4 linked regions of the Mytilus edulis genome follow. The protein of the gene in region 2 binds, or shares a complex with, the protein of the main gene of each other region. Links are inferred from orthologs where the notes say so. Each region holds a gene or a part of one and is shown on either strand. Other genes may lie near its edges. The genes, in order: B9 domain-containing protein 2-like, tectonic-like complex member MKS1, transmembrane protein 237-like and transmembrane protein 17-like.

Evidence for each region.
Region 1: tectonic-like complex member MKS1 (region 2) and B9 domain-containing protein 2-like share a complex: the UniProt entries of both Homo sapiens proteins name them as parts of the tectonic-like complex. The link is inferred for Mytilus edulis from reciprocal best matches to the Homo sapiens genes MKS1 and B9D2.
Region 3: tectonic-like complex member MKS1 (region 2) and transmembrane protein 237-like share a complex: the UniProt entries of both Homo sapiens proteins name them as parts of the tectonic-like complex. The link is inferred for Mytilus edulis from reciprocal best matches to the Homo sapiens genes MKS1 and TMEM237.
Region 4: tectonic-like complex member MKS1 (region 2) and transmembrane protein 17-like share a complex: the UniProt entries of both Homo sapiens proteins name them as parts of the tectonic-like complex. The link is inferred for Mytilus edulis from reciprocal best matches to the Homo sapiens genes MKS1 and TMEM17.

Annotation. Positions count from the first base shown.
Region 1 is NC_092346.1:49,637,436-49,644,365, forward strand, and holds the start of B9 domain-containing protein 2-like, read right to left. Parts: upstream 3,015-6,930; 5' UTR 2,841-3,014; intron 936-2,840; 5' UTR 932-935; coding exon 844-931; intron 189-843; coding exon 63-188; intron 1-62. Other genes in the region: tyrosyl-DNA phosphodiesterase 1-like, read left to right, coding at 5,720-6,551. UniProt on the Homo sapiens protein: Component of the tectonic-like complex, a complex localized at the transition zone of primary cilia and acting as a barrier that prevents diffusion of transmembrane proteins between the cilia and plasma membranes.
Region 2 is NC_092349.1:45,660,753-45,668,641, forward strand, and holds the start of tectonic-like complex member MKS1, read left to right. Parts: upstream 1-4,866; 5' UTR 4,867-4,909; coding exon 4,910-4,986; intron 4,987-7,889. UniProt on the Homo sapiens protein: Component of the tectonic-like complex, a complex localized at the transition zone of primary cilia and acting as a barrier that prevents diffusion of transmembrane proteins between the cilia and plasma membranes.
Region 3 is NC_092350.1:20,110,263-20,118,059, reverse strand, and holds the start of transmembrane protein 237-like, read right to left. Parts: upstream 3,012-7,797; 5' UTR 2,939-3,011; coding exon 2,648-2,938; intron 398-2,647; coding exon 127-397; intron 1-126. Other genes in the region: low molecular weight phosphotyrosine protein phosphatase-like, read left to right, coding at 3,035-3,071. UniProt on the Homo sapiens protein: Component of the transition zone in primary cilia. Required for ciliogenesis.
Region 4 is NC_092349.1:60,256,422-60,263,517, forward strand, and holds the start of transmembrane protein 17-like, read right to left. Parts: upstream 3,005-7,096; 5' UTR 2,949-3,004; coding exon 2,831-2,948; intron 1-2,830. Other genes in the region: uncharacterized protein, read left to right, coding at 3,883-3,957. UniProt on the Homo sapiens protein: Transmembrane component of the tectonic-like complex, a complex localized at the transition zone of primary cilia and acting as a barrier that prevents diffusion of transmembrane proteins between the cilia and plasma membranes.

The sequences.
Region 1 (6,930 bases), on a different chromosome or scaffold from region 2:
ATCTGATATTTTGATAAGAACTGAAGTGTAATATTTAATATTGTTTTAATTGAACAAATTACCTTGTAAACCTTTGGTTGTAAAGTGAACATCTATTGGATGAGCCCAGTATGCTTCATCATAATTTTGTGGGTTATCTACTTGTGTTTGTCCTTCTCTTAGACCAGACAAAGCTTTCCATGCTCCTCCTGATAATACAAAATATATCATAAATATGAATTGATATATGAGGTACATGTAGTTTTACATAAAAAAATATCTTATAGTATAAAAACAAATAACTAACACTGGACTTTGACTTTGTGGTCTTCATTGGTGAATGTAAGTTAACACTTTAATCATGCACATTGTTTATGGATATACAATGTAGGTCAATAACAATGAAGAAAACTATTTACTGAATTTGAATAATGTGTATCCTGTGTTATCTGACATACTGGAGGACCAGAAAAAATGTTGGATTCAGCAGGGTGTCGGAATACTCTGGCAGGTTTTTTTTTTGCAAGGTTAAGCAAATTGGGACCATGAAAATGTGTCGGTTAAAGCAGGATGTTGGAACACTCAGGTGTCAGAAAAGTCAGGTTACACTGCATAATCAATCATAACACACTGAAAAAGGGCTAATATACAGACAAAACAAATTCTCTAATCAGATTTTCTTCAAACAGATTATTTTCTTCAAAATTTTGCTGAAGACTACAAGTAAGTTTAATTTTGAATGTTTTTTATGTTTGCTTGCTATTTCACAGTCTTTATAATTCTAAAGAACTAGTCAAAGTTTATTCAAAATAAGTTTTAAAAAAATGTATGTATATGTTGTTTAATAAGTCTATTTCAACACACCTGTATGTATACCCCATTTACAAAACAAACTATGATCTGGAAATCCATCAGCACCAAGAATCTGTCCTATGATATGTACTTCTGCCATGATTCTGTAAAAATAAATCAATTACTCTATTCAAGATTCAATTATGTCGGAGGAAAAAAATAAAATTACACAATTTAAAACTCACTTATTTCACATATATATATGTAATTCAATTGAATTCTCTCAAATACATTTCCAAAAGTACATTATATGTTCATGTTCCCCATTTCCATTCTTAATTTTATGTTGTACATTTTTATGTATAAAATGTATCAAAAGTCAAATTAAAGGGACTCCAAAATTACTAGTCATGCTAGTGTACACAATTCAAAGAGGGAAACCAACGATCTAATTTACATATATATACAAACGGGAAAATACATATGAACAGAACCACACCAACAAACGATACATGTTACTACTGAACAATAGACCCAGAATCAATGCGGACAGGTGCATAAACATGCAGTGGGTATGGATAGTTTCGTTCCGCTGGCATACAATATAATTGCAGTTGAAGGCAACTCTTCTCCTTCAGAAGTTCTGCATTCTCTATTTTGACAACGAACATTTTTTGATGGGCCGGGAATGTAGGTGAGGGGGAAGAAAACTAATGTACAGGTATTTTCCCCTTGTTATATATTTATATCAGAGCACTCCCACTTTGGATATATGGGTTTAATGTTTAATCAAATTTTTACAAAAACATTTACATAGTGTGGTGGGGTGCTTATAGGTTTAAAATCATTAAATACAGGTAAGCAGGTAAGACTGTGATTTTAAATTAAGGGTTAATATTTTTTTATAATATTTACCAAAAAACAGACAGGATTATATTTCCGGATGCGGGAAGCAGGAATATAAATCTTAAAATTTATTTCTGTTTCGAATAAAATAGGTGCGGCCAGGTCTGTCAAATAAGGAATTAAATTGATGTGGCCTCAAAGTCATTATTGCAGTACTAGTCTTCTTCTTTAAGGAAATTTGTAAATGGATTCATGTGATAGCTTTATGAATTATGTAGTATTGAATAACACAGAAAGTTCTCTCTTTGGTATTTACATATGTATTATAAACAATGTTTGCAACATATGCATTTTTCAATTATAACTCTAGAATCCGGATCCGTTCGCGCCCATTCACGTTTGCACCCACTCATGTTCGCCCCTTTCACTTTCCCACCCTACATGCTCGCACCCAAAGTCTGTTCGCACCCTACATGTTCACGCCCAATTTTAATTGGTTTTTTTTGTAATCATGCAAGTTTTGGTAAGAGTATTCTTCTTGTCATTGTCTTAAAATAAAGTGAGACAGCATTTTATTTTTGTGTTGAATAAATCTTAATCATGTTTTGGATAGTGTATTGTTAAAAAAAATATAATCCTTTCTATAAATAAAGTGGGATTCTGTCAACGTTTTATTTTGTGTTGAATAACTCTTAATCATGTTTTGGTTACTGTATTCCTATAACTTTGTTTCATTGACTTGTTTCAAAACAACTAAGTGAGATTTTGACTACGTTTTTTTTTTGTGTGTTGAATAAATTTTATCTTGTTTTGGTTATAATAGTGTATTGCTTTATTTTATTGTTTAATTGTTTCAGATCAAAGTGACCAAGCTATCAAAAACAATTATCTTTTGTGGTTTTTTTTTGGGCCCAAACGTGTAGAGTGCGAACGGACCTTGGGTGCAAACCTGCGAGGAGCAAACGTGTAGGGTGCGAAAGTGTATTGGGCGTTAACGGACCTGATACCATAACTCTAACCATCTGGTGTCTCTTTCCTTTTGTGATAAATATTTCAAACAGAAAGAAAGCAATTAAATGAATCTTGTAGTTAAATTGGCAAACCATTTTATTTGACATGCCCAACCCGTCTTTTCGAACATAAAAATCAAAAGTAATTAAAACCCGCTAGGAAAATTCAAGTTCGAACATGGCCAAGGCACTTTAAACTCTCTTTTTGCTTACCACGCCGTAATTTAAGTAGATAAAATGCTGAATTCAGTAATTTTGTTATTAAATGGTTAAAACTTTTCTGATTTAGGCTTCTCTGATATCTTATATATCAGGAAATTTCATTTTCTTTAGAATAAATTGTTAATGTTCATTCCTGTCCACCATTTTTGTTGACATTAACAATTTGATATTTTCGTATTTTGCATAAATCCTATTTATCAAAATAAATTGATCTTGGATGAATAATTAGTTGCTATTTAAAATGAAACTCTTTGTTAAACGCTTTTAAAAATAAAATATGAAATAATAACATCCGAAAATAATTAGTAAACAAATGCTGATTTGGCACATGTGTGAGTTCTATCAAGATAATGACAACTTATCATATTTGTCAGTGTAAAATTCATAGCTTATAAATAATCAACATCCTGCATCTCCCTCATAAACAATCATCAATCTCTCATATAAATTTACACGTGTGCTCTTGCATTTTACGTCTAATAACCAATTCCTGTTCTGGAGAAGGAATAAAACACATTGTCCAATGCTTTAAGGTTCATCATAACCTTTTGGCTAAAATGGCCTTATTTACACCCCAAATTTTACTCTGAGTACAGACTAACCTATACACCTGCAACAGTTTTAAGGGATGGCAGGAACTAGATATATAAATTTTAAATGCATTTTATGTTTCAGAAAATTATAAACTTTTCTAGATTTTGCTATCCATTTTTTTTCGTTCCTGCAGAAGGTGCAAAAATTAACTAAGTAGTGAAAACGATTGAGAAGCTCCCCTCATATAATGAATGTTGTGAGTAGTATTGATTTAAATGGACAATAGACACCTGTAAACAATAGGTGATTTAACAGGTTTAAACTGTGTCACTGAATGGACCGTATCAAATGAAACTCGGGTGTTTGTTTATTTTGCTATCTTCTGCAGACTGGAAAAAAATGAACATCAAAATCCAGGTAAGTTTTTAATTTTCTGAAACGTAGACTTCATATAACTTTTATATATCTAGTTCCTGCCATGCCTTAAAACTTTCCTGGATGTACCAGTTTGTCTGTACTCATAGTAATTTTGGAGGTGTAAACACGGCCATATTTTTCAATTCCTTATGATGAACCTTAAATACATGTATAAACAATAACGATAATAATTGATAAATTCTTTATTTTTAGAAATCTGTCTGGCATGACCCTGGAATCTGTTCCGCTTGAACGTTTGACATCATACAACAATCACTTTTCCATCAATCTAATTAAAAACCGATCTCTCATCGCTCCCGTTTTCTGATATGTCGCATGGGAGATCTAACGAAACCGGCTTTGAGGTCACATGTGAGTGAACTAAAAGTTATAAATTTATAATGATATGCAAATGAGTTGATGACCTATTAGTAAGCCAATCAAAAAAGTTTATGAATTATTTTGACTGACGATTTCGTCGTAAATAAAATGAGTTACATCCCTTTACCTTTCATTAAACTTTCAAGATCGTGGAAGACTCAATTTCATTGGTCGAAAAAGACACACCTACGAGGTCACTCACATGTGACCTCAAAGCAGGTTTCGTTAGATCTCCCACGCGACATCAGAAACAGGAGCAATAAGAGATCGGTTTTAATTAGATTGCTTTTCCATATGAGCATCACTGATGAATCTTATGTTGACGAAACGCTTGTCTGCTGTACTAAATTATAATCCTGGTACCTTTGATAACTATTTACACCACTCATGGGTCGATGCCACTGCTGGTGGACATTTCGTCCCGGAAGGTATCACCAGCCCAGTAGTCAACACTTCGGTGTCAACATGAATATCAATGATGTGGTCATTTTTATGAATTTCCTGTTTACAAAACTTTGAATTTTTCGAAAAAAACTAAGGATTTTCTTATCCCAGGCATAGATTACGTACTTAGCCATATATTTGGCACAACTTTTTGGAATTTTGAATCTTCAATGCTCTTCAACTTTGTACTTGTTTGGCTTTATAAATATTTTGATATGAGCGTCACTGATGAGTCTTATGTAGACGAAACACGTGTCTGGCGTACTAAATTATAATTCTGCTAGTGGTACCTTTGATAACTATTATGACTTTGTTTAAGACCCCAAACTAATCAATGGTAACAACAGGTGTCATAATCTGTTGTTACAGGTAATCTGTTTATTGGATGGGTCTTTAATGATTACTATATTAATTCATTCAAATAGAATCGATAGAAGGAATTTGCATATACATGTAACAACACTATGTACTGTACTTTCCTAGTGTAAGAATAATTTGTACCTCAGCCATTGTCAGCTCAGGCCAACAGAATGTATACAAAACTTTCCCAAAAAATCGGATTGTGTCTGTTGCTAAAGTAGACCTTTATAAAACTGAATCACCCTATACTAGTATATAAGAATCAATTGGATATAATTTGTAGAATATTCCGTATTGATTTAACCTTCCATTAATGGCCTGTTATTAATGAATGATAATTGTATATATTTAAGATTGTTTTTTGTGCATAAATTAATATTGTCATTTCTTCAACGTTGTACTTTATTTGGCCTTTTTAACATATTTTGATTCCAGCTTCACTGATGAGTCTTTTTGTAGACGAAAATTGTGTGTCTGGCATATATATAAAATTTGAATCCTTATATCTATGATGAGTTTATTCTATCTAGAACCTCCCAAAAAAGGGACAAACCTTGTTTATACTGTCCTTTGCTTTCTGATGTTGTCCCTTTCTATTACCAGGAGGTAAAAATAACCTATTTGTAATATGGTATGTAATTTAAAAAAATTCATGGTAAATTTATTTTTTTTAGGAAAAAAAATGTAAATTAAATTCCACACTTTGATATATATATTGGAATCATTTTGATCTTATGTCTGCAAAGGGAGGTCATCATGTATCTGATACAGACTCGGATATTACTGTTGGACCAGAAGATAGTGACGTGACCACTGAATCACCACACAAATCACCAGTAAATCTTCCGTCATTAAGTAAAAGAAGAAGTGAAGTTCATGAGATTTCAGAGTCTGAAGAGGAAAGTGAAGAATATTTCATTTTGAAAGGGACTTCTAAAGGGAAAGGAAAATCTTCATTATTTAACTCATTGAAATCCACATCTGAACAAAACGAATCTAAATCACTTGTTAAACAAAGTAATAAATCATCAGCAACTTTGACTAAGCTTAAGTCACAAGAAAAGACAACAAAATCATCATCAGAATGTTTTTCAAAGTCACTAGACAACAGAACAAAGCCATCATCAGAAACTTTGACTAAGTCAATCGAGAAGAGATCAAAGCCATCATCAGAAACTTTGACTAAGTCAATAGACAAGAAGACAAAGTTGTCACCAGAAACTTTGACTAAGTCACATGACAAGAGAACAAAACCATCATCAGAAAGTGTGACTAAGTCCTCTGAGAAAAAGACTAAGTCATTTACAGAAATAGAGAACTGGTTAGATAAGATTGATTCCAGTCCAGAGGCTGAAAAGGTTGATATTAAAAAAAGATTTGACAGTCCAGTGGAGAAAGGCAAACATTCTGATTATAAACCATCACCATCTAGTGGCTTGAAGAGAAAACAGACAGTTTTACTTGAAGAAGAAAAGAAGACAGTTAGTAGGAGGAAACCTCCTTGTCAGTATGGGTCAAAATGTTACAGGAAAAATCCATCTCATCTTCAAGAATTCAGCCATCCAGGTAATTAAATAGCAAAGTTAAAAAAAGAGGATTTGCATCAATTGCCTGTCCTATCAGGTAGTAGTAAAATTTAACAAAAGAACATTTGTTATCATTGTACAAAAACAACCTGCTTGTTTCTTGTTCATTGTTTAGTGGTAAAAGAGCAAGGTCAGTTTGTCAGTTATATGCTGAAAGGAATAAGTCAGATTATTTGAATAATAGGTCTATGATATAGAATGGAAATACTTTTCATGATTTGATATTGCATGTTGAGCATTTTGTTTCAGGGCAGTTTTCAAAGCCACTTGTCAACTACTGATCACATTCTTGTTCGACTATAAAAATGTCTGTAAGAAATCAAATATGCTTTCTCTAAGCATGTTTAACCATTGCTATG
Region 2 (7,889 bases):
ATGGCTTGTACCCATATTTTGACTATTGTATTTATTGTGTCTGTTTATTTAACGCATCAATGTAAAAATATCGGAAATTGATGAGACTGTCATTAAAGTGAGAGGGTTAGCGCTATAGAACCAGGTTTTATCCACCATTTTCTACATTTGAAAATGCCTGTACCAAGTCAGGAATATGACAGTTTTTGTCCATTCGTTTTTGATGCGTTTTGTTATTTGATTTTGCCATGTGATTATGGACTTTCCAAATTGATCTTCCTCTAAGTTCAGTATTTTTGTGATTTTACTTTTTTCTAAAACTTGACGAGCTATTTTTTTTTAATTGAAGTACAAATGTCCTCACAAAACTGAATACAATCAAAAGCAATTTTTTCTAAACAATTACTTCTGAAGATTAATTGTCAACCGCATTGTGTCCTTTAACATTATTTCCGAATTGAAACAATTGGCCGTTTCAGAATCTAAAGCATCATGGGTAATTTCATTGTTCGTACCCCAAATTGAAAATAACGTTACGTCATTGGTTGAATTTCCATTGTTTATAACGTTTTAAACCAATCAAAACGCTTTGGTGTACGCTTTTGAAAATATTACCCAGGATGCATTAGATTCTGAAACGGCGAATTACTAGGGTGGCATCAAATTACCCATCAAATTCCACTTCACTTTTTTTTTTTTGTCAAAAATTTATTTGATATAACAATTATAGTGCATTATTGTTCAAGTAAATAAAAGAACGAGTTAATAAAGCTAGGATACGATATTGGAAGGTATATACACGAAAAAGAATGAATTATACAACATGCGATGAAATATTACATATTTAAGAAACAATCCGAACACCGTTTATAAATAGCTTCGCCGAGAGCGCATGAACTTCCACTCTTATTCTGAATATTGAAATTGTTGTTATTGAATTAAATGGGACATTTTTTTTTTTGGTCAAAAATTTATTTGATATAACAATTATAGTGCATTATTGTTCAAGTAAATAAAAGAACGAGTTAATAAAGCTAGGATACGATATTGGATTAAATGGGACATTTTTTTTTTGGTCAAAAATTTATTTGATATAACAATTATAGTGCATTATTGTTCAAGTAAATAAAAGAACGAGTTAATAAAGCTAGGATACGATATTGGAAGGTATAAATCACGAAAAAGAATGAATTATACAACATGCGATGAAATATTACATATTCAAGAAACAATCCGAACACCGTTTATAAATAGCTTCGCCGAGAGCGCATGAACTTCCACTCTTATTCTGAATATTGAAATTGTTGTTATTGAATTAAATGGGACATACATTCAATGGTATCTGCTTTAATTGTGGCTTTTATGGTCATCATTGTAAAGACTGTCACACACTTTAGGATAAATCTGATGTATTTCAATTTGTAGACAAATTATCAAATCATAGTAAATCATTACTACTTCATAACAATTTCGATATACTTCTCAATTTATGTCCAAATTGTAATACATCAAAATGTATATGTACTCAAAAATGTATGTCTGTAGCTAAAAATTTTGAAAACAAAAGTTCAGAGAAAATTGTCATAAATCAAAAAATGGTATATGTGCTAATAGCCTCAGCTCAAAACCTAATTATAATAGAAACAAACATTATCAAAAAAACTGTCTTAATCTAAAATGTAAAGGTTTCAATGCTGTATGCCTTAATGTTCGACATATTCTATCTAAATTTGACGAGTTAAAAAATATGATTACTATAAACAACAAATATTTAGATGTATTTGGATTAGTTGAAACATTCTTAAAACCTGACATTAACAATGAACAATGTAAAGTGCCGGGATACAAAATTTTCAGAAAAGATCGCCAGTGTAAGGATGGTGGTGGCCTATTGGTTTACGTCAAAGATTCTATTGCAGTTAAAAATAGATCTGATTTATCAATTAATACATTAGAAACTTTATGGTTAGAGGTAGAATTTCCAAAATCTAAACCTTTCTTTATTTGTACTATTTATAGACCACCAAATTCCCCTCAGTCCTGGATAGATCTTTTTGAGGAAGAATTTAATGCAGTTCTTTCAGAAAACAAAGAGATAATTTTAATGGGGGACTTTAATATTGACTTGATAAAAATTGAGAATAAAAAATGGATCAATTTCATAAACAATTTTAATCTTCAACAACAAATTTGCACTGCAACACGTATTTGTGACAAATCTGAAACTCTAATTGATCATATTTACACTACTAATCCTGAAAATATTGTCCATTGTCATGTTCCGTCATATGCTTTAAGTGACCACTATCCTGTATGCTTAAATAGAAAAATCAATATAAAGATAAAAAAAGAAAGTCATATCGAAATAAAGTATAGGTGTTTCAAAAAATTTAATGAAGATGCCTTTTGTACAGACTTACATCAAACCCCTTTTGATATTGTTGAAATGGAAGATGATATTGATATTGCTGTCGACAAATGGTATGAACTTTTTAATCAAGTTATTAACAAACATGCACCAATGAAAACTAAAAGAGTAAAAACATTTAAACAAGCCAAATGGTTTAATGAAGAAATTAAAAATTCCATTCAATATAGGAATATGTATCATTCAAAAAAAGATTGGGTAAACTTTAAAAAGTGGCGTAATAAAACAACGTCGTTAATATTTAATGCAAAAAAGGAATATTACCAAAACGCCATAACTAGTTCCAAAAATAGTAAAGAACTTTGGAATCATATTAAAGAGTTAAATCCAAAAGAAGATAATATTTTCCCACCTAAAATGCAGTATGAAAATCAAACGGTTTATAACAACCAAGATATTGTAAATACTCTTAATGTTCATTTTTCATCCGTAGCTGAAAAACTTATTGGAAATAATACTTCAGATATGGATTTTTCTATGCTACAAAATTTTACTAGTGAAAAATTAAAGAAAACTGAAAATTTTCATTTAAAACTCATTTCCGTTGGAGAGGTGTGTTCTCAACTAAAACATCTTAATATTAATAAATCCGCAGGTTTAGATGGAATTGGTCCCAAATTTTTAAAGCTAAGTGCATAAATAATATCCCCATCATTAACTTTTTTAATAAACAAAAGTATAACTTCAAATCGTTTTCCGCAAAAATTAAAACTTGCAAGAGTAACTGCTATACATAAAGGAGGACCAAGAGATATTCCCTCAAACTATCGTCCAATTTCTATTTTGAATACCATATCTAAAATTTTCGAAAGACATGTATGTACACAGTTATATGAATTCCTAAACAATAATAAATTGTTACATATCGCCCAGTCAGGTTTCAGACAAGGTCATTCCTGCCAAACAGCGCTAACTAAACTAATTGACGAATGGTTAAAATATTTAGATAATGGAGAAATAGTTGGTACAGTGTTTTTAGATTTCAGTAAGGCTTTTGACCTTATTAACCATGCCATACTTTTAGAAAAGTTAAAATTTTATCATATCGGAAAACATATAATAGATTGGATAAAATCATATTTGTCTGACAGACAACAAGAAGTCCAATACGCTAACATTAAATCTGATAAATCGTTTGTAAAGTATGGAGTGCCTCAAGGTTCTATTTTAGGTCCGCTGTTATTTTTAATATATATAAATGATTTACCACTTCATGTTAAACAATCCAATATGGATTTATATGCTGATGATTCAACATTGCATTTTCATGATAAAAACATTGAAAAAATAAACAGCATATTGCAAAATGATTTAAATGCTATACAATCTTGGTGTAACAATAACAGTATGAAAATCAATGCACAAAAAACTAAGTGTATGAAATTGGGTTCAAAACCAAAACTTAAACAACTATCAGAATTATGCATTACCGTCAACGAAACATGTATTGAGAATGTCCATTCTTTCAAATTACTTGGAATTGACATTGATGAAAATTTAAGCTGGGAAGATCATGTTGATCGTGTATGTAAAATAATCTCTTCTAAAGTATCACTTTTATATAAAATTAAAGTATATTTGCCAATACACACAAGGCAACTATTTTATAATGCATATATTCTACCATATATAGACTATTGTAGTTCAGTTTGGGGAAATTTATCATTTTACACAAAGATTCAGATAGAATCATAAAACTTCAAAAAAGAGTAGCAAGAATTATACTGGAATGCGATATTTCTATTCCATCTAAATTCATGTTTTCTTCTTTAAAATGGCTATCTTTTACCAAAAGAATAAAATACCAACAATCAATTTTAATGTATAAAATTGTAAATGGGCTAACACCTGATTACTTAGCAATTCTAAATATTGATGATGTGCAACGCCACAACCTACGATCTGTCTCTAATAATGATCTTTTTGTTCCAAGGCCAAATACAAATTTTTATAAAAAATCTTTTCATTACTCTGCAACCAAAGTATGGAATAATTTACCACTCGAAATAAAAAAATGTCCTAATGTGGAATTATTCAAGAAACATAGTTATAATCATTTTCTTGAAAATTATATGCAAGTCAAATAATTTGTTTTTCTCTAACAAAACTATATCAAATATTGTCATTTATTACTCTTTGTATATTTTAGTGATTGAATTGTTGTATATACTAGTAATATATATTGTAATTTAATGTATCAATGTTAACTGTATGCATGTATTTTGTTTGAGGGCCTCAATGAAAATTAGAATTTTTCTAATTGAGTTACCCTCTTTAAATAAAGAATTTATTATTATTATTATTATTATTATTATTAAGGTACGATTTTGACATACTGTCGCCCCGAATCGTCGTCTCTTGTATAAACCGGAATTTCATAACAATACCAGACTTGTTTAAAATTTACATAATATAGTAAACAAATCAATAAAGCGTTTGATAACAGGGGAACTTTCATTCTTTTATTAAGAAACTATACAACATCGCAAATAGTTTACGGTCATGGCGGACTTGTACGAACCTGATTTTGGAGCTGCTTATTATAGATCAAAAGACCCTGTTAAGAATCTCAAATTCAAGTAAATAATTTTGCAATTGTATCAGAAAAACACAATGCTCAAATGAAACTAAAAAATTACGTTCTGCTAAAAGATCTGATGTCAAAATAACGTCAAAAATGACAAATTTTGAATTCATGAAAAACTAAGATTATTTCCAACTTGAACCAAGTATATTCCCTTAAAATTTATTGTGATTTACAATTTCTTTTAATTTAACTGTTTAACATCAAATAACATGCATAAGGTACTGTTATATGAGGCAGCCCTGTGAAAGGGTATGGGGTCTGCAAACCTTAAGAAATACATTATGATACCCATTATCAGAAGATTAATAATGATGATAAACATTTCTTGTAAGTAAATTCCAAGCATCATTCCTGCTTGAAAGTAACTGAATTACTGAAATGTACATGTATCTCATGTCAGTCAAATTTTTTGGAATTTTATATGTTCAATGTAAACAAGAAATTTTATCTATATGACAGGTAGTGTATTTTTCTCTCGTTTTAATCTCCTATAGTATACTTGGCGATTACAATACCAGGGCTTTCCATTGAAATTGAAGTAGAAGGCTCAATGAAAATTATAGGCTGCTGTAACATGCGTTCGGCGAAGCCGGACGCCCACCAAGCTGTAAGCTTGGTGCCTTACAAGTTACAGCAGGGAGTCTGGGAGGCCCCCAGACGCTCTGGCATAAATAGAGAAAAATCCTGCATTCTCAAAATCTCCTGGCACCTAATTTCATCTTTCAAATGACCATTTTTTATGTATGAAATTAAAGAAACTCTGAAAGAAAAAAAAATCTCAAAGAAATTTCATTTTTTTTATGTTTTAGTTTTTATTTTCATTACCTTTTGCTTAAAATTCATTTACTTTTAAAGGAGATTTATTTATATAATAATCTGGTTTGTTAAAAATCTTGATTGATTTATTTTGCATAACTACGTGCATTTGTAAACAAATGACCCCCCTATTCTCTCTAAAGACTGTTACGCGTATTTAAATCATACAATTATTTCTCAAGCGTTGACAGAAAATTGATTTATCCTCTGATTTTCTCTTTTTTTGTAAACTGTTCAATAAGTTGGATACATAAATCAGGCCTAAAATAAAATTTCATTTGTTTGGCATTGCCGCCCGACCCACTGAAAAACTTGCCGCCCAAATAACTTTATTTGCGTTTCAGAATTATTTTTTTTTTTATTTAAAAAAAATCGAAATTGTGCCGGCTTTACTTATTTCAAATCACGATCTTAAAAGCGCTTGTCTTACACTGTATTGGGAGCAAACATTTAAATGACATGGAATAGAAAAAGTCTGCCAAAAGTAATGTCAAAGAGGCCGGCAGGGGAAAGCATCTCCCTATGCTGCAATGCATTAGATGGATTTTATCAAAAATCAATTTTTCAGCTATTCTTTGAAAGAAACCTTCTGAGAGACCTTGTAGCGGACTCAAATTTTATCTTTGATTAAGCAGAAACAGATGATTTCTGCTTGACTTTGTCGCTTCATGAGATAGAAGTTTTTCACCGGAACATCACAGAACAAATATGTGTGGCTCTTACATTTGTTAAACTTATTAAATATTTGAAATTTATCATTGACAAATTTTCCCTTGAACCAGAGAACAAAGTATCTACTATAGTCAGAACCACTATGATGCATCTGAGACTACTATAACACATAGTGTTAATAGCTATATATATAGTAGTCTCAGGATGCATTCAAGATAATTATGGCTGTAAGCACCAAAGCTCAAAGACCAAAATGGTCCCAGATTTACAGGTTTATAGTAGTTTTGTACCAGTAGATGCTAGCCTGGTACAAAACATACATATTTTAAAGACTAGCATCTTGTGTCAATTGAAGTACTTCCCCCTTTTCTTGCCTTTCTTCTTAACATGAATAAGATAATTCTTAAAACATAAAAGATACTGACAGAAACATATGTATAAATGTATCTAGTGTACTAGTGATGAATAAAATCCCCTCCTTTTCCACAATTCTAAGGGCTCATTAATTTATCTGTATGCATGTAATGCATGTCCAGATTTCTGTTAATCAAACAAGCATAACAACCCATAATTTATTTATCTGCAAAAATTGTCTGTCCTGCTGCATATTTCCATTTTGAATTTATCATACGTTTTAAACTTAGCCCTGAAAAACCTTGCACTTGGATAATATTAGTATAAACACCAAGTCTATTTGTGCCAACCTTCCAAATTTTTAATATTTTGCTATCCTAATTTGGTACAGATCCTTTATCCTCAAAACTTATCAGGGGCAGTAGGCGTGTTTGTATGGTAGTTCGTCACACCTTACATGTATGATTACTAGCCTCTAGGTATTGGTTGAGCCCTAGTTGGGCAGTTGCAAAATTAAGGTTTGATTTTCATGTCATATGTGATAAGGTTAGTCAGTTTCCTCCTGTAGGTTGGCGTTTTCCTTCAAGTACTACGGTTTAGTACGCCACTAAAACTAACTGCCATGAAATTACCCATATGGTGTAGAAAGTGATGTTTATAAAACCAAAGCAAACAATCAAAGTTTTAAATCTTTGTCCATTTCTACAAGGAGCCGTAGTGGTAGAGCCATTTAACTTATGGTAATTTTACCAAACTGTGACCACAACTTCAAGATGTGACATCAGGCCTCTGTTCAATGGGCAGTCCCACAATTAAGTTCAATTTTCACGTCATACATTTTATATGGTTAATTTGTCAGTTTCCTGTCTCAGTTCTGTGTTTTTTTCTGGGTACTTTGGTTAACTTTGACAATAAAACTGACTGTCTTGCATGAAATTATCCATATGATGTACATTGTAGAATGTGACATTGACAGTTGACCCCTTTCAAAGAAACCACCAACATGTACACACAACAATGCTTTAGACAACATTGATCTAGAGACTTCATGAT
Region 3 (7,797 bases), on a different chromosome or scaffold from region 2:
GTTGTATATATATATAGAATGATAGACTGTTTTAAGTCAGACCTGTATAACAGATTTAAATGAAGTGAATGAGAAAAATAACACCTGCCTTTTAGCAGGTTTATATGTACATTTTTTTTTACTTACAATTAGTTTCTATAAATAGATTATCTAATGGCTGACTTTTGAGTACAATAGATTCTGTAGAGTAGGGATGAGGTATAACATCTTCGTCTTTCTTGCCGTCTGGTGTTACAATATCTTCTTGTATGGTTGACAAGTCTGCAGCAAATGCTGCATCCATAAACTCATCTCCAACTCTAGGTGAGGCTTTCTTCACCTTTTTCTTCACTTTTTTTTTTGGTGTTGTCTTTTTATCATCTTTAGATATTAGGCTTGTTTTACTACCACCAACTTCCTGGAAATAAATCAATTATTATCATAAGTACAAATGAACCTGTTATTACTATTTCAGTTTGAAAGTTTCTTCACTTAAGAATTAAGTTCAAATTAATTATCATAACAGTAATGTAATCTTGAAAATTATTATTTGCTGCTTCTTCGATAATGTAGCTTTTACATGTACATGTAGGAGTAAGAGCAAAAATGGGTCAGTTCAAAGTCAGAAATATGTGTTGGGTACCTGGTAAGGTGATATATAGTCTTGCAGACTATTACCTTGTAAGCTACAAGTAGCATGTTAAAAATATTGCTTTAAAGCCTGTCAGAGTACAAGGTATGGTCTATCTTCATATCACTTTATCATATTCTCATCATGAATTATGAATATATGCATATAAATTCGTTACTGGACATTAAACAGCCATCCATACTGAAATCAATATACAAGTGAATCCCAATTTTTTATTTAATGGTATTTTTTCAGCATTTTTATTATTATTATACTAGCGCATTAACTATGTTGTTTGAGGCTGCCGTGTAGTAATATGAACCATTTCTCCAAAATTTGTTTATATCTGATAACTTAGTAACAGTTTATAAAATTATATTGAGACTCAGAGTTCGTTCTGTTTCTTGTGAAACTACAATGTACTGCCTTATCCAGTACTGGGGTTGCCATGTAAATGAGATCGAATCCAGGTACATTCGCGCCCATTCTGGTTCCACTCCTTTAATTTTCGCTCCCTATATGTTCGCTCCCAAAGTTCGTTCCCACCCTTTTTATTTGTTTTGTCAATGATTTTTATAGTAAAAATAAGAGGTTTTGTGTTTAATAATTTTGTAATAGAGTTCTATATAAATCTATATCATGTTTTGGTTAGTGAACATATCACTATTTCAAAAATAAAGTTAGATTCTGTCTTTTTATGGTTTGTTAAATAAATATTTATCATGTTTTGGTTGTGTATTGCTATAAGTATTTTTTTTCAATGACATTGAAATGTTTCAAAATAAAGTACCATTCTGACAAAGTTTTGTATTGAATAAATCTTAATCATATTTTGGTTATTTACACCAAAGTATAATAATTAAAACCACCATCACGATTTTCTGACACAAGACAATAATACCAAATTTAGCTGTGTATAAATACCAATTATCATCAAATTAATAAAAAAAATAAAACCATGTACAAAAACTGTAATAATTCCTCAATTTTTATTTAGGAAAATATAATTTATTTGCTTAATACAATTACATATAAATAAATATCTAATAATTGATCTGGAATTTGAATAAAAATTGGGCCTGAATGTGTACTATGGTGTAGGGTGCTAACAGACCCAGGGGGCAAACATGTGAGGTGCAAACTTGCAGGGTGTGAAAGTGTATTGGATGAAATGACATCCAGAACTATGCAAGTTGTTTGAATACTGCCAATTACACGGTATCGGGACCGTTCGCCCTAATGACATGTTCGCCCTAGGGTCGTTCCCTCTGAGTTCGTTCGCCCATAGTGTCTGTTCGTCCTACTATAAAAATATCAATATGAATTGAAGTTGAATAAATTTATTGAGATATTTCTATGGTACATGTACAATGTATATATATCATGTATATTCTTGATATTTATGGAAACATTGCAGAGTTTATTGCTTGTTTAGGATCATTAATTGTTTAAAGAAAAAATAATTCGGATCACTGGTTATTGTGATACTTGTCTTTTGATGGATTAATAATAAAAACAAACGTGTTATTTTGATAAAATATTCAGCTTGAAATTAATAAAAACAATTGATTACGGCAATATAAATATTCTGTCAATTTTTCAACAAACTTTAACATATTTTGTTCAAATACTTAAATAATGCAACTAGACAACAAATAGAAAAAAATAAAAATTGGGTGAATGGACCCTTGACGAACAGGTATCAGGGCGAACAGATACTAGGGCGAACATGAATCAGGGTGAACGGACCCAGATTCCAATTACACCACTACTTCAGTCATGTTTTTTTTTTATATAAACGAAGGAAAATATAATTGATTTCAGAAACAGATGATTAGAAATAATGGAAAAATTAATTTATCCTAAAGTATTCCCTAAAAGTTACTCATCTTATAAACCTATTCCTTATTCAGATGTTATTTAATGGTTATCCTAGGCCTTTTCTGGTCAAGTCCAAACACATCATTTTTTTAAATGTCTTTACATGTATCTTGTATATTTCGTATTAGAATGAAAGCAGATCTTTATGACAATAACCTCTTGACTAGCAGCACTTCTTGCTGATGTAGGTTGTCCATCTTCAGCCTGTTCTGGTGGTTTGCGTTTCTTCCTTTTCCTTGGAGTTGGTTTGTCTCCATCTTCTGTTGCAACAGGTGCTTTCTTCTTTTTAGGAGTAGTGGCTGTTGATCCGGTTTCGCCATTTTCTGTTGCTTCGGTTGGTTTCTTTTTCTTTTTTCTTACTGGTCTTTTCTGGACATCAGTTTCTTCTGATGCCTGTGTAACTGGTGGCAATTTCTTTTTCTTCGGAGGATTTTCATTGTCGGCCATTTTTGTATCCAATAAACAAAACAACTTCCGGTAACTTTCGGATAATTCTCTTCGTTTCGGAATCCACCAGCAGTCTTCCTAAAAAGTTGCAGGAAAATGTCTAAAAAGCATTCAGTTTTGTTTATTTGCCTTGGTAATCTAACTCCTTCTAACTTAGACAATTTGTTAGCCCGTAATAACTTATTTCCATCTTTTTAAAGGGTAAAAAGCTTTCACGATTTAATGAAACATCCAATCACCGTAAGGACAAATCGCCCCACACCAAATCGCCCCACTTTTTCACTAACTCGCCCCACTTTTAAAAAAATCGCCTCAAACTGAAAAGGGTTAAATTGCATTATTTTTTCTCCTGCAAACTCGCCCCACTTAATGAAAAGGTCAAATCTAGATGAATATATAATTTGCAGGTCTGCCAACTTGCCCCACTCAAAAACTATGAAGTGGCATGACTCAATTCATCAGGACTTTTCTATTTTCCATAAGTGGGGCAAGTTTGCAAGACTCAATTCATCAAGATTTTTCTATTTTAACAAGTGGTGCTAGTTAATTAGCATTCACGTCACAGAAATTCTGATACTCACTTCTTAATTTTTTTTTCAACAAAAAGAAAAGAACCACCAAAAAGATATAAGAAGATGTGGTATGACTGTCAATGAGACAACTCAGTCTCCATCCAAGACACCATTTGTAAAAGAAAAACCATTGTAGGTCAAAGTTAAGCGTCTTCAACATGAAAGTAGTAATGCCCTTTATCAACAGGCATCAAACAGTCATTTTCGGCTACCATAAGCGTCAAATTGGTTAAAAAAATTTTGATGATTTGTCAAAGATCTTTATTGTGATTCGTCAGCGGTCTCAAATAATTATTGTTACCGTCATTTTTGGAAAAAAATTAACGTGATTCGTCTAAATTAGTTACTATTTTTATCGACTCAAAGAAAGTACATTTAATCGTCATACACCAAAAATTTTCTCTAACGCCATTTGGCAAGAATAAGTACGGTTATTTGTCATGAAGGTACCCTCATTACTACCCTAACACCGAACAGTAAGCTAATAAAGGGCCCCCAAAATGACTAGTGTAAAACCATTCAGACGGGAGAAAAATGTTATCTAAGGTTTTCATAGGTATTGATTTTATTTACTTAAGTGGGAGAGGAAAATAGATATATATACAATGGGAATGCACCTTTTGCATCAAGTGGGGCGAGTTGGCATTACTAAATTCATCAGTATTTATCTATTTTTCACAAGTGGGGCGAGGTGGCATGCCTTATTTCAGAGGCTTTTTTTACCCATTTCATAAAAGGGAGCAAGTTATCCAACCTATTTTCAATGGGAGTTTACCCTTTTTCATAGGTGGGGCAAGTTGCACAGGCACTTGTCTCAGAATTTAATTTTCCTATATACCTTAATATATATATAGTGGTTTTTTTCTTAGACAAGTGCCTGTGGCAATTTGGTAAACAAAAGTGCGATTGTTCAAATAGTGGGGCGATTAGGTGTGGGGCAATTGCCAGTGGGGCGATTTTTCATGGATTCCAATCACCATAGATTACCAGTTTCATAATAAACTGCCAGGACCCTCATTCGGTGACCACATATATTTTGATTCTAGTTTTTTCACATCCAAAATGAAAGCTAAAATTAATTGCTTGCTACCCTATATAAAGAAAAGAAAATTTTTACAGTGATGAAAGAAAATCTGCTATGTTGTAAATTTAGTGGGAAATTTTTTACAAAGCAATCATAAACTAAAACTGAAATGATAAGATTAGAAAAAATTGTTTTGATTCAGCATAAGTAAAATATACATTACAAGCTCTAACCTGGAGCTTTTGACCAATTATATTTATAAAAGTGCAGTTTTATGTACAATAAAATAATATTGAAAGGGGTGTTCTTAATATTACACTTTTCCAAAATTTTGTTGCAATCTTAAATTTTGATTTATAATACAAAGAACTCTCTGAATGTAATTTTTCAATAAAAAAAGAACATGCAGCACCATGTACAAAAATGTATGTACTTAGCAGATTTATTCACACCCAATTGTTAAAAACATTTTTTACAACACATTTTTATAATCATGAAAATGAACATGGTGATCTGTAAGATGAAAACACATATGATTGCATGCAACTGTTGTCTGTCGCCTATTGAAAAGCTAAAATACTTCCTTTAAAACTAGTATCCAACTAGTTGGTCATGTTGATGAACAAATAAATGTTGGACAAAACAACAATTGATTCTCTTATGAAATAAAGTATCATACATGTAAAATAAATACCACAAAAAATAATTATTATGAATTGACGGTTTCATTCTCTAAAATCAATTGATGCTTGGGATTGTAATCTTAATATTTAATGAAAAGCCAAGTGAATATATTTGAAATTAAATCACTTAGAACTGTTTTCCTGATATATAAAAAGATATAAAAAATAATGGTAATGACTAATATAATTTGAGAATATCTTAGAAATTTTTTTTTTGGTTTATATAACCGCCAACCTCATCATGCATATTGAAAACAATTTATTATTTAGATAGTATCATTAGCTCAATCCTTTGTGGAACCATACAACATTGCTGTACTTTTAAATACAAAATTTATATATACATTTTGTTTAATATGCTGTCTGACTCTGATTCAAAGATTTTAAAACAATAAAAAAAGATGTTTATATTGAAAGCATTAATCATGTTAATTTTAAGGAATTAATTCCTTTTAACAGTAAAGTTTGACTGAACTGTAACAGACTGAAAAAGTAGATTTGTGGAAATATCAATGATAAAGAAACTAATAGAAAAAAAATTAAGCATATTTCATATAGGAGGGGGGATCAAACCTTTATTGGGACTCCAGGATCAGCTGTTTTTAACCTTGGAATTTCATGATTGATCCTTTCAGGATCTTGTAATTCCTTTTTCAAATTTTGGGATGTCAGGATTTAAATTTCTTTAAATTCAGGACCTCTGGAATTTATGTTTTTAAGCTCAGGATTTCGGGACCAGGACCCCTCCAACCCCCTCATATAGAGACTGAAGGTTACATTGACTATATTAATTGAATGTGTGATTGTTTTGATTTCTTGCTGTTTCATTGAATCTAATTTGTTGTAAGCTTCACATCCCTTTTTAAACATACTGGTAATCTTTTCATTTTAACATAATTTTATCATTTCAGTGTAAAAATGACTCATGCAAATGAATATAAATAAAAGGAGATATGGGTTATACACAGGGGTCGAATTTAAGCTTTTTTGTGTACTGGCCAGCCGGACCAGTGGACTAAAAACTCTACTGGTCCGGCTCCAAATCTACTGGTCTTTTTTTCACATGTTGTACAGTTCATTAAATTCCGATCTACTATATAATTCAACCATTCGCGATCTTTTTCCCATGATTTTTATACGACCGCAAATTTTGAAAAAATTTTCGTCGTATATTGCTATCACGTTGGCGTCTGCGTCGTCGTCGTCGTCGTCGTCGTCGTCGTCGTCGTCGTCGTCGTCGTCGTCGTCGTCGTCGTCGTCGTCCGGCGTCCGAATACTTTTAGTTTTCGCACTCTAACTTTAGTAAAAGTGAATGGAAATCTATGAAATTTTAACACAAGGTTTATGACCACAAAAGGAAGGTTGGTATTGATTTTGGGAGTTTTGGTCCCAACATTTTAGGAATTAGGGGCCAAAAAGGGCCCAAATAAGCATTTTCTTGGTTTTCGCACTATAACTTTAGTTTAAGTTAATAGAAATCTATGAAATTTTGACACAAGGTTTATGACCACAAAAGAATGGTTGGGATTGATTTTGGGAGTTTTGGTCTCAACAGTTTAGGAATTAGGGGCCAAAAAAGGGCCCAAATAAGCATTATTCTTGGTTTTCGCACAATAACATTAGTTTAAGTAAATAGAAATCAATGAAATTTAAACACAATGTTAATGACTACAAAAGGAAGGTTGGTATTGATTTTGGAAGTTTAGGTCCCAACAGTTTAGGAATTAGGGGCCAAAAAGGGACCCAAATAAGCATTTTTCTTGGTTTTCGCACCATAACGTTAGTATAAGTAAATAGAAATCTATGAAATTTAAACACAAGGTTTATGACCATAAAAGAAAGGTTGGGTTTGATTTTGGGAGTTTTGGTCCCAACATAATAAGGGGCCCAAAGGGTCCAAAATTAAACTTTTGTTTGATTTCATCAAAATTGAATAATTGGGGTTCTTTGATATGCTGAATCTAACTGTCATGACTGTGTATGTAGATTCTTAACTTTTGGTCCCGTTTTCAAATTGGTCTACATTAAGGTCCAAAGGGTCCAAAATTAAACTTAGTTTGATTTTGACAAAAAATGAATCAGTTAGGTTCTTTGATATGCTGAATCTAAAAATGTACTTAGATTCTTGATTATTGGCCCAGTTTTCAAGTTGGTCCAAATCGGGGTCCAAAATTAAACTTTGTTTGATTTCATCAAAAATTGAATAAATGGGGTTCTTTGATATTCCAAATCTAACTGTGTATGTAGATTCTTCATTTTTGGTCCTGTTTTCAAATTGGTCTACACTAAAGTCCAAAGGGTCCAAAATTAAACTTAGTCTGATTTTAACAAAAATTGAAATCTTGAAGTTCTTTGATATGCTGAATCCAAAAATGTACTTAGATTTTTTATTATGGGCCCAGTTTTCAAGTTGGTCCAAATCAGGATCTAAAATTATTATATTAAGTATTGTGTAATAGCAAGTCTTTTCAATTGCACAGTATTGCGCAATGGCAAGAAATATCTAATTGCACAATATTGTGAAATATCAAATTTTTTTTTAATTAGAGTTATCTTTCTTTGTCCAGAATAGTAAGCAAG
Region 4 (7,096 bases), about 15 Mb from region 2:
AATAGAGCGTATGTAAACTGTAAAAAAAATTATAACTTGAGAATATCAGGAGAGGTATCAAAAGTCAAAGGTACTTGGGGACTGGGCACATTTTTTTTTGCCCTCCCCCTATTTCCAAATACCGATTTTTATTCTTTCTCTTTTTCTGTATACTATGAACAAAAATATATCTACTATAGTTACTATATAAAACAGTCACTGATATATTAAAAGTCACCTCAGTAAACTATTGGAATTTAAAGTAAATTATAGCAAACTTATACAATTTATTCATAGTATATATGTATCGTGGCAGATCCAGAAATTTTAAAAAGTGGGGGCCAACTGACTGCCTAAGAGGGGGCCTGCTCCAGTCACCCTTCAGTGACTCCCTATATAAGCAAACAGTTTTTTTCTCAAAAAGGGGGGTGGGACCCCTGCCCTCCTAGACCCCTCCTCCTAAATCCGCCTCTGTGTGTGTAGTATACAGAAATATTTCAGTGACCGCTTTATCTATAGTATATGTATGATCATAGTATACAGAAAAACACAAAAAAATAGTGTTCTGTCTCAAGTACTAATTCAAATTATGTTTAATTTCAAAACAGGCCTAAAGGGCAGCGGAAGTCTTTTATATTTCTCAAAAAGTCAGTACGATGACGGAAACAATATATGGATGCATTTATTTTCGTTTTCCTCCCAATATAACCCAAACTGAAATACTTTAAGCAAGGATGATAAATGCTAGAACACACCCGCGAAATCGCGGGCATCCAAGGGTGGTTGAAAGTATGTAAAGTGTTGTAGGTTGAATTTTTGTAAAAAAAATAATGACTGGAGAATATTTCAGGAAAGCTGATAAAAAGTTATAGGTACTTGGGGACAGGACAATTGTTTTTCAACCCCTGCTCCTTTTATCCCAAAATTTCCATTTTTTTGTTTTCTATTTATTTCAATATGAACATACGTTTAGTATGTTATGAACATACATTACTATAAATAAAGTGTGTTTGCTTTTAACTATCAATTCTCAGTTAACTAATCAATCCACGGCGGTCATTGATATATTATATAGACCCTCTTTATTTAATATACTTAGTGACCCGATGAATTTTTGTAAGAGACTTTATGACTGAAGAATTTCAGAAAAGGTATGAAATGATTTAGATACTTTGGGACATGACAATTGTTTTTCTAGCCCGGCTCCTAATTTTTTCCTCAGAATTTCCTATAATTGCTCTTTTATTGATTTCAATAATGTAAGCGTTTATCTGTATATTATGAACATACATTACTATAAATAAAGTGTATTTGCTTTTTACTATCAACTCTCAATTTACTAATCGATCCACAGCGGTCATTGACATATTATATAGAACATCTTTATTTAATAAACTCAGTGACCGCAGTGGATAGTTAACTTGAAAATAAATGCAAATACACGTTATTTAAGTCTTTGGTACATTTATGTACAAAGTACAGAAAAAACGCAAACCGGATGTCTAGTCTGACTTAAAATTTCGTCCAATGACCGGACAATATCCGGATGCCTTTTTTCTTGTTTTTCTCCCAAAATAACTCAATCTGAATAATCATATAAATGGATGACAAATGCAACTATGCACTGTACCTATAAGACACAGAGGCGTGTTGATTTATTTATTGTAGAAGGAAGAGAAGCGACACACAAAATGAGGTCTTCTCGTTTAATAGTTTAGATATATATATATGTGCTGATTTACTTGCAACACTTTTTTTGCCTACTGCATCCTCTGATTTGTTTGGTATTGTTTCTGCATATTACTTGCTTCATGTCCAGTGGCAAATATTTCAAACATGTTCAAATACAGTAACATGTGCCATAACTTTGTAAATTATGATTTATTTTGACATAATTTTAATAACAGTGCATACATGTAAATAATTTCCAAAATAATAACCCAATGTTTGATTGACTAGGTTCAGGTGTTAATGAACTTAATGAAGCCATCTTAGAGGGGATCTCATTGGGGGGTTGGGATCCTGGATCCCGCTAACTGTTTTGTCAGATTCCAGTATCCCGCTTACACTATGTATGTAAGCAATTCTCATTTTTTTGTCATTTCCTGGGTCCTGCTAGACCTCATTTCCTGCTTTCAAGTGTCACGCTTACAAAAAATCGGCAATCCTGTGTCCCCAATGAGACCCCTCTTAGAGAAGCAAAATGTAATGAATTTAATATTCTAATTATTGTAGAGTTTGGTTGCAGCTAACAACTAGCGATAAGGTTCATGATGCTGTTAATCCTGAAAGTAAGTTTGATTGTCAGTATGTTAATACAATGAAACAGCCCTACATATTGAACAAATTGCCACCTTGAGGGTAAATATATATCAAAGGTAGTAATGGGGTACCCTACATGAAAATTGATGATATAAAACTATGCTATAACTTTTATGAGAAGCATTTACCTAAGTTGATCCTAATGATTGTACCAGAACGAGATTGGACAAATGATGATAAAAGAAGTAGAACAGTAGAAAGGTTCCTTTGTTGTGAAACGTAGCAAATATTGGGAGGTGTGATGATAAATGCCGAAATAGCATTCTTACTACATTGTATCATGTCATGATCATCTGTTTTGATAATGGTTTAATTGAATAAATTGTTTAGTGTATTTGATAAAAATCTGTAGGAAAGAAGTTCGAAAACAGAAAGGACTCAGGAGTAGAACCAGTAGTTAAGTATAGATTGTGAGGTAACCTGCTGCTGAAATCAATCTGAGTGTTGTGTTTCAACATGATTTTTACATGAAACTACTGTACCAGCTAAACCTTCACAGAATAACAGGATTTTAACTAAGTTTATTAACCTGTCTTTTTCAGTTGGTATTGTTGTGGATCCTGTGCATCTTTTGATATGGGAAACAACACGTCAGTGAATGATGTGACCGTTTTTCTTAGAGATCTCCCCAAAAGTGGAGAATCCATGTTTACCTTTTAGCGGGGTATGTCACATGATGTAAACATCCGGTTTGCATTTCAATATTTTCGTAATTTTATTCAAAAACATTTGCTTTTTTAGTTTACAGTATTTGATATTTTCATACTGAAAAATGATTTCAGAAATAAAATTCAAAACTTTGGAAGTAAAGTTTAATTTTTACAAAACTGTGAGATTTTTCTAATGACCAATCAAAATTTCGCACCAAAGTATGTTAATACAATGAAACAGCCCTACATATTGAACAAATTGCCACCTTGAGGGTAAATATATATCAAAGGTAGTAATGGGGTACCCTACATGAAAATTGATGATATAAAACTATGCTATAACTTTTATGAGAAGCATTTACCTAAGTTGATCCTAATGATTGTACCAGAACGAGATTGGACAAATGATGATAAAAGAAGTATTTGATAAAAATCTGTAGGAAAGAAGTTCGAAAACAGAAAGGACTCAGGAGTAGAACCAGTAGTTAAGTATAGATTGTGAGGTAACCTGCTGCTGAAATCAATCTGAGTGTTGTGTTTCAACATGATTTTTACATGAAACTACTGTACCAGCTAAACCTTCACAGAATAACAGGATTTTAACTAAGTTTATTAACCTGTCTTTTTCAGTTGGTATTGTTGTGGATCCTGTGCATCTTTTGATATGGGAAACAACACGTCAGTGAATGATGTGACCGTTTTTCTTAGAGATCTCCCCAAAAGTGGAGAATCCATGTTTACCTTTTAGCGGGGTATGTCACATGATGTAAACATCCGGTTTGGATTTCAATATTTTCGTAATTTTATTCAAAAACATTTGCTTTTTTAGTTTACAGTATTTGATATTTTCATACTGAAAAATGATTTCAGAAATAAAATTCAAAACTTTGGAAGTAAAGTTTAATTTTTACAAAACTGTGAGATTTTTCTAATGACCAATCAAAATTTCGCACCAAATTTCAAACAAGCGGAAACCTTCACACGAAAACGTAAACACATGAAACAGGTCGATAAATAATGTCATAGTCTGCGGTAAAAAAAAAACCAATCACAAAATAATCTGGTAAAATTGATTAATGGTGATAATGAATTATAAGTGATATAAGCCTATATGTTACGAAAGAGTGATGGGAAAAGCCTGTCATGCACCCCCTTTAATATTTTTAATTTTCATATAACTATGTTAAACAAGTGTGTACTCATACCAATAATCTTACATCTTGTGGTCTCAACTCACTTGCCTTCTTGGTATCTTATTTCTTAAAATATCCCAGTAACACATCTTATCACTCCTTGCTGACCTAAGAAATATCTGTCCCACTCGATCTATACACCTTATCGCTATTTGTCTGCCATTACTGGATATCACACAGGTTCCCGTAAAATTTTGACGTCACAATACAAAATATCTGACGCCACAATGGAAAAGTGATTGTTATCATGGTTATATGCGTCAAAAGTTCAAGCGGCCGGGTCAGGCGGGATTAGTGATAAGGTGTATTGACGTCATACAACAATCACTTTTCCATTGTGGCGTAAGATATTTTGTATTATGATGTCAAATTTTACGTGAACCTGTATAATGTCCGGTTATCGTAATGGCAGACAAAGGACAAGGTACACTAAGGGCCGTATTTGGCCCCCTTTTTTGTCAATTTTTTTTCATCATGAAATAAACGAAATTATAATCGAAAATAATTTGCATATATCTGTTCTTTAGAAGCTCATGCGGATTTTAATTTTTGGTAAAGCAGAAATCTGATTTTGAGTTGCTTAAAGTTACCTAATTACACCAAAAGGTAGCAAAACGTTGATTTTTGGACTGAAATTCTTCGTTTTTAAAGGCCTCCGCCAACGTGAGCCACAGAAAAGAATGGTGATGAGGATAGCATTCAAACAGAATTTTCAGATAATGAAGAGAAACTTTTGGCTCACGTTGGCGGAGGCCTTCAAATATGTATAAAACTATCTCCTAAAAAAACAACAACTTCGCCGTAATAGTAAAATCGGAGCGAAATCGGAGAAAGGGCTGAAAAACTCCGCATTCAGCTGTGATTACCAGACACCACCAACTACATCAAGAATATTTCCAAAGGTGAGGTTTTTAGTTTTGAGATTTGGCAATCATTCTTCAAATTGTATTTTTTTTCTTTTTATCAATCTAGATTTTGTTTATCCAATTTGGATCAACAAACAAATGGTGAAAACGTATCATCGGCATTTGACACACACAATAAACAGCCATTTGCATGTGTATCTGAGACCGGTTGAGTCATGATATATATTAAAGCTACAAAGAGTTTGAATGATTAAATAATTTTTCGTTTCAAGTAAAAAATATACTCAGAATATGTGAAAATTGGGAACAAAATATCGGTCCGGTTGCGGACGACTTTGAGAAATTGACTACCGCCGAAAACAACATTTTTTGCTTATCCTTAACCGGAGATTTTTCTAATGAGTTTACATGAAAATTTAACAATTTTTGCAAGTAAAATAATTTCCAATTTCCGTATGAATTCGACTACAAATAGAATTAACTGAGAACATAACAAATAAAAAAAAAACAATAGTGATAAGTATGTCGTTTTACACAATATTTGTCATGATGACAACGTAGTCTAATGGGAACACCGTTGCCTTTTGTCCGGGCGTCCTACGTTCGAATCTCATTACAACCATTACTATTTTTTTTTCATTTTTTTTTACTTGTATCATTTTATCATTTTATTTTCTTTCAAAAAAGAAAGAAAAGCAGAAAAATGCTCGAGTTCATGATATAATAGCCAGCATTTTAGTCTGATTTCTAAACATAAAGTTTTAGTCACTTCAAATGGTATGCAACAGATTTTTATTCTAAGTTTGAGCCTCATTCAATTTTTTTTGCCCTTGGAATCATTTTTTCAATATGGGACGACATCAAAAGATCAATGAAGTATAGCAAACTTATATCAAATAACTTGGGGAATGATAAAATGGCTGCTATTTTTGTTTCTTTGACTTCGATTTAACATGTATCCCTATTGGTCAATCATTTTTCCCAAATTAAGTTAAGGGAGTTGGGGAGGGGGGGTGGGGGAATCAGTGGAAAAACTATGTGAATTTTTATCCTACATTGAACTTTTGATTTCGTCCCTGAGAGAAGTTGAATAGAAGTAATTTGAAGAAATAATATTACAGCCGATTTCATTGAGTGTGTAGCCAAAGGTAACAGTGGCGGATCCAGGGGCTAGGGTGGGGGGGCGGGGGGTTTGAATCCCCTTTTTTGGACGATCAATGCATTTGAAAAGAGGATAGTACACCTGACCTAATAATGACTGAATGGTTCAGCTAACAAGCAAGCTTACCAAAGATATTACCTTTGCCTACACACTCAACGAAATCGGCTATATATAAAGGGAGTTCATATATAAATTGTGGATATAACATAGTTGTTTCAGACATACACGAAATATTTTAAGGTTTAACTTCTATCAACAGATAACAGTAACATGTTTTTAAAGATAGATTTTCCGGCCCTTGGTTTTTAAAGTAAAAATGAAAAAATAAATATATATACATATATCATAACATAATTAAACGTTACACAAATGCTCAGACGACCTGATGTGCAAGGTTTCATATAATATATATTTTTCTGTCTTATTACAGATATAGAATTGACATCCTGATTATGTAAACCATGGACACCACATAACATGCATAATGAAATTCATGGACGTTCGTATGCCTGTTTTCGAAAATGGTATAGTTATTTTGTTAAACTTGTATAATATATAGATATAGGAAGATGAGGTATGAGTGCGAATGAGACAACTCTCCATCCAAGTAACAATTTATAAAAGTAAACCATTATAGATCAAGGTACGGACTGCGACACGGACATTGGCTCACAGCGAACAGCAAGCTATAAAGGACCCCAAAAATTACTATTAGACTTAATACTTAATCACTTTTGTTTGAAAAAAAAATTCTCTCATATTTCAATTTGGCTCTTATAAATTCGATATCAGCAGCATGACTGTTGTAGTCTTCGGTCACTTTTTTATCAATTGTATTATAATTCAGAATGTGAAATACATGTCTGTAGCCGATGCCTCCTTACTATATATTTTACAAGATAAGATAATGTAGCCTTTTAAGGC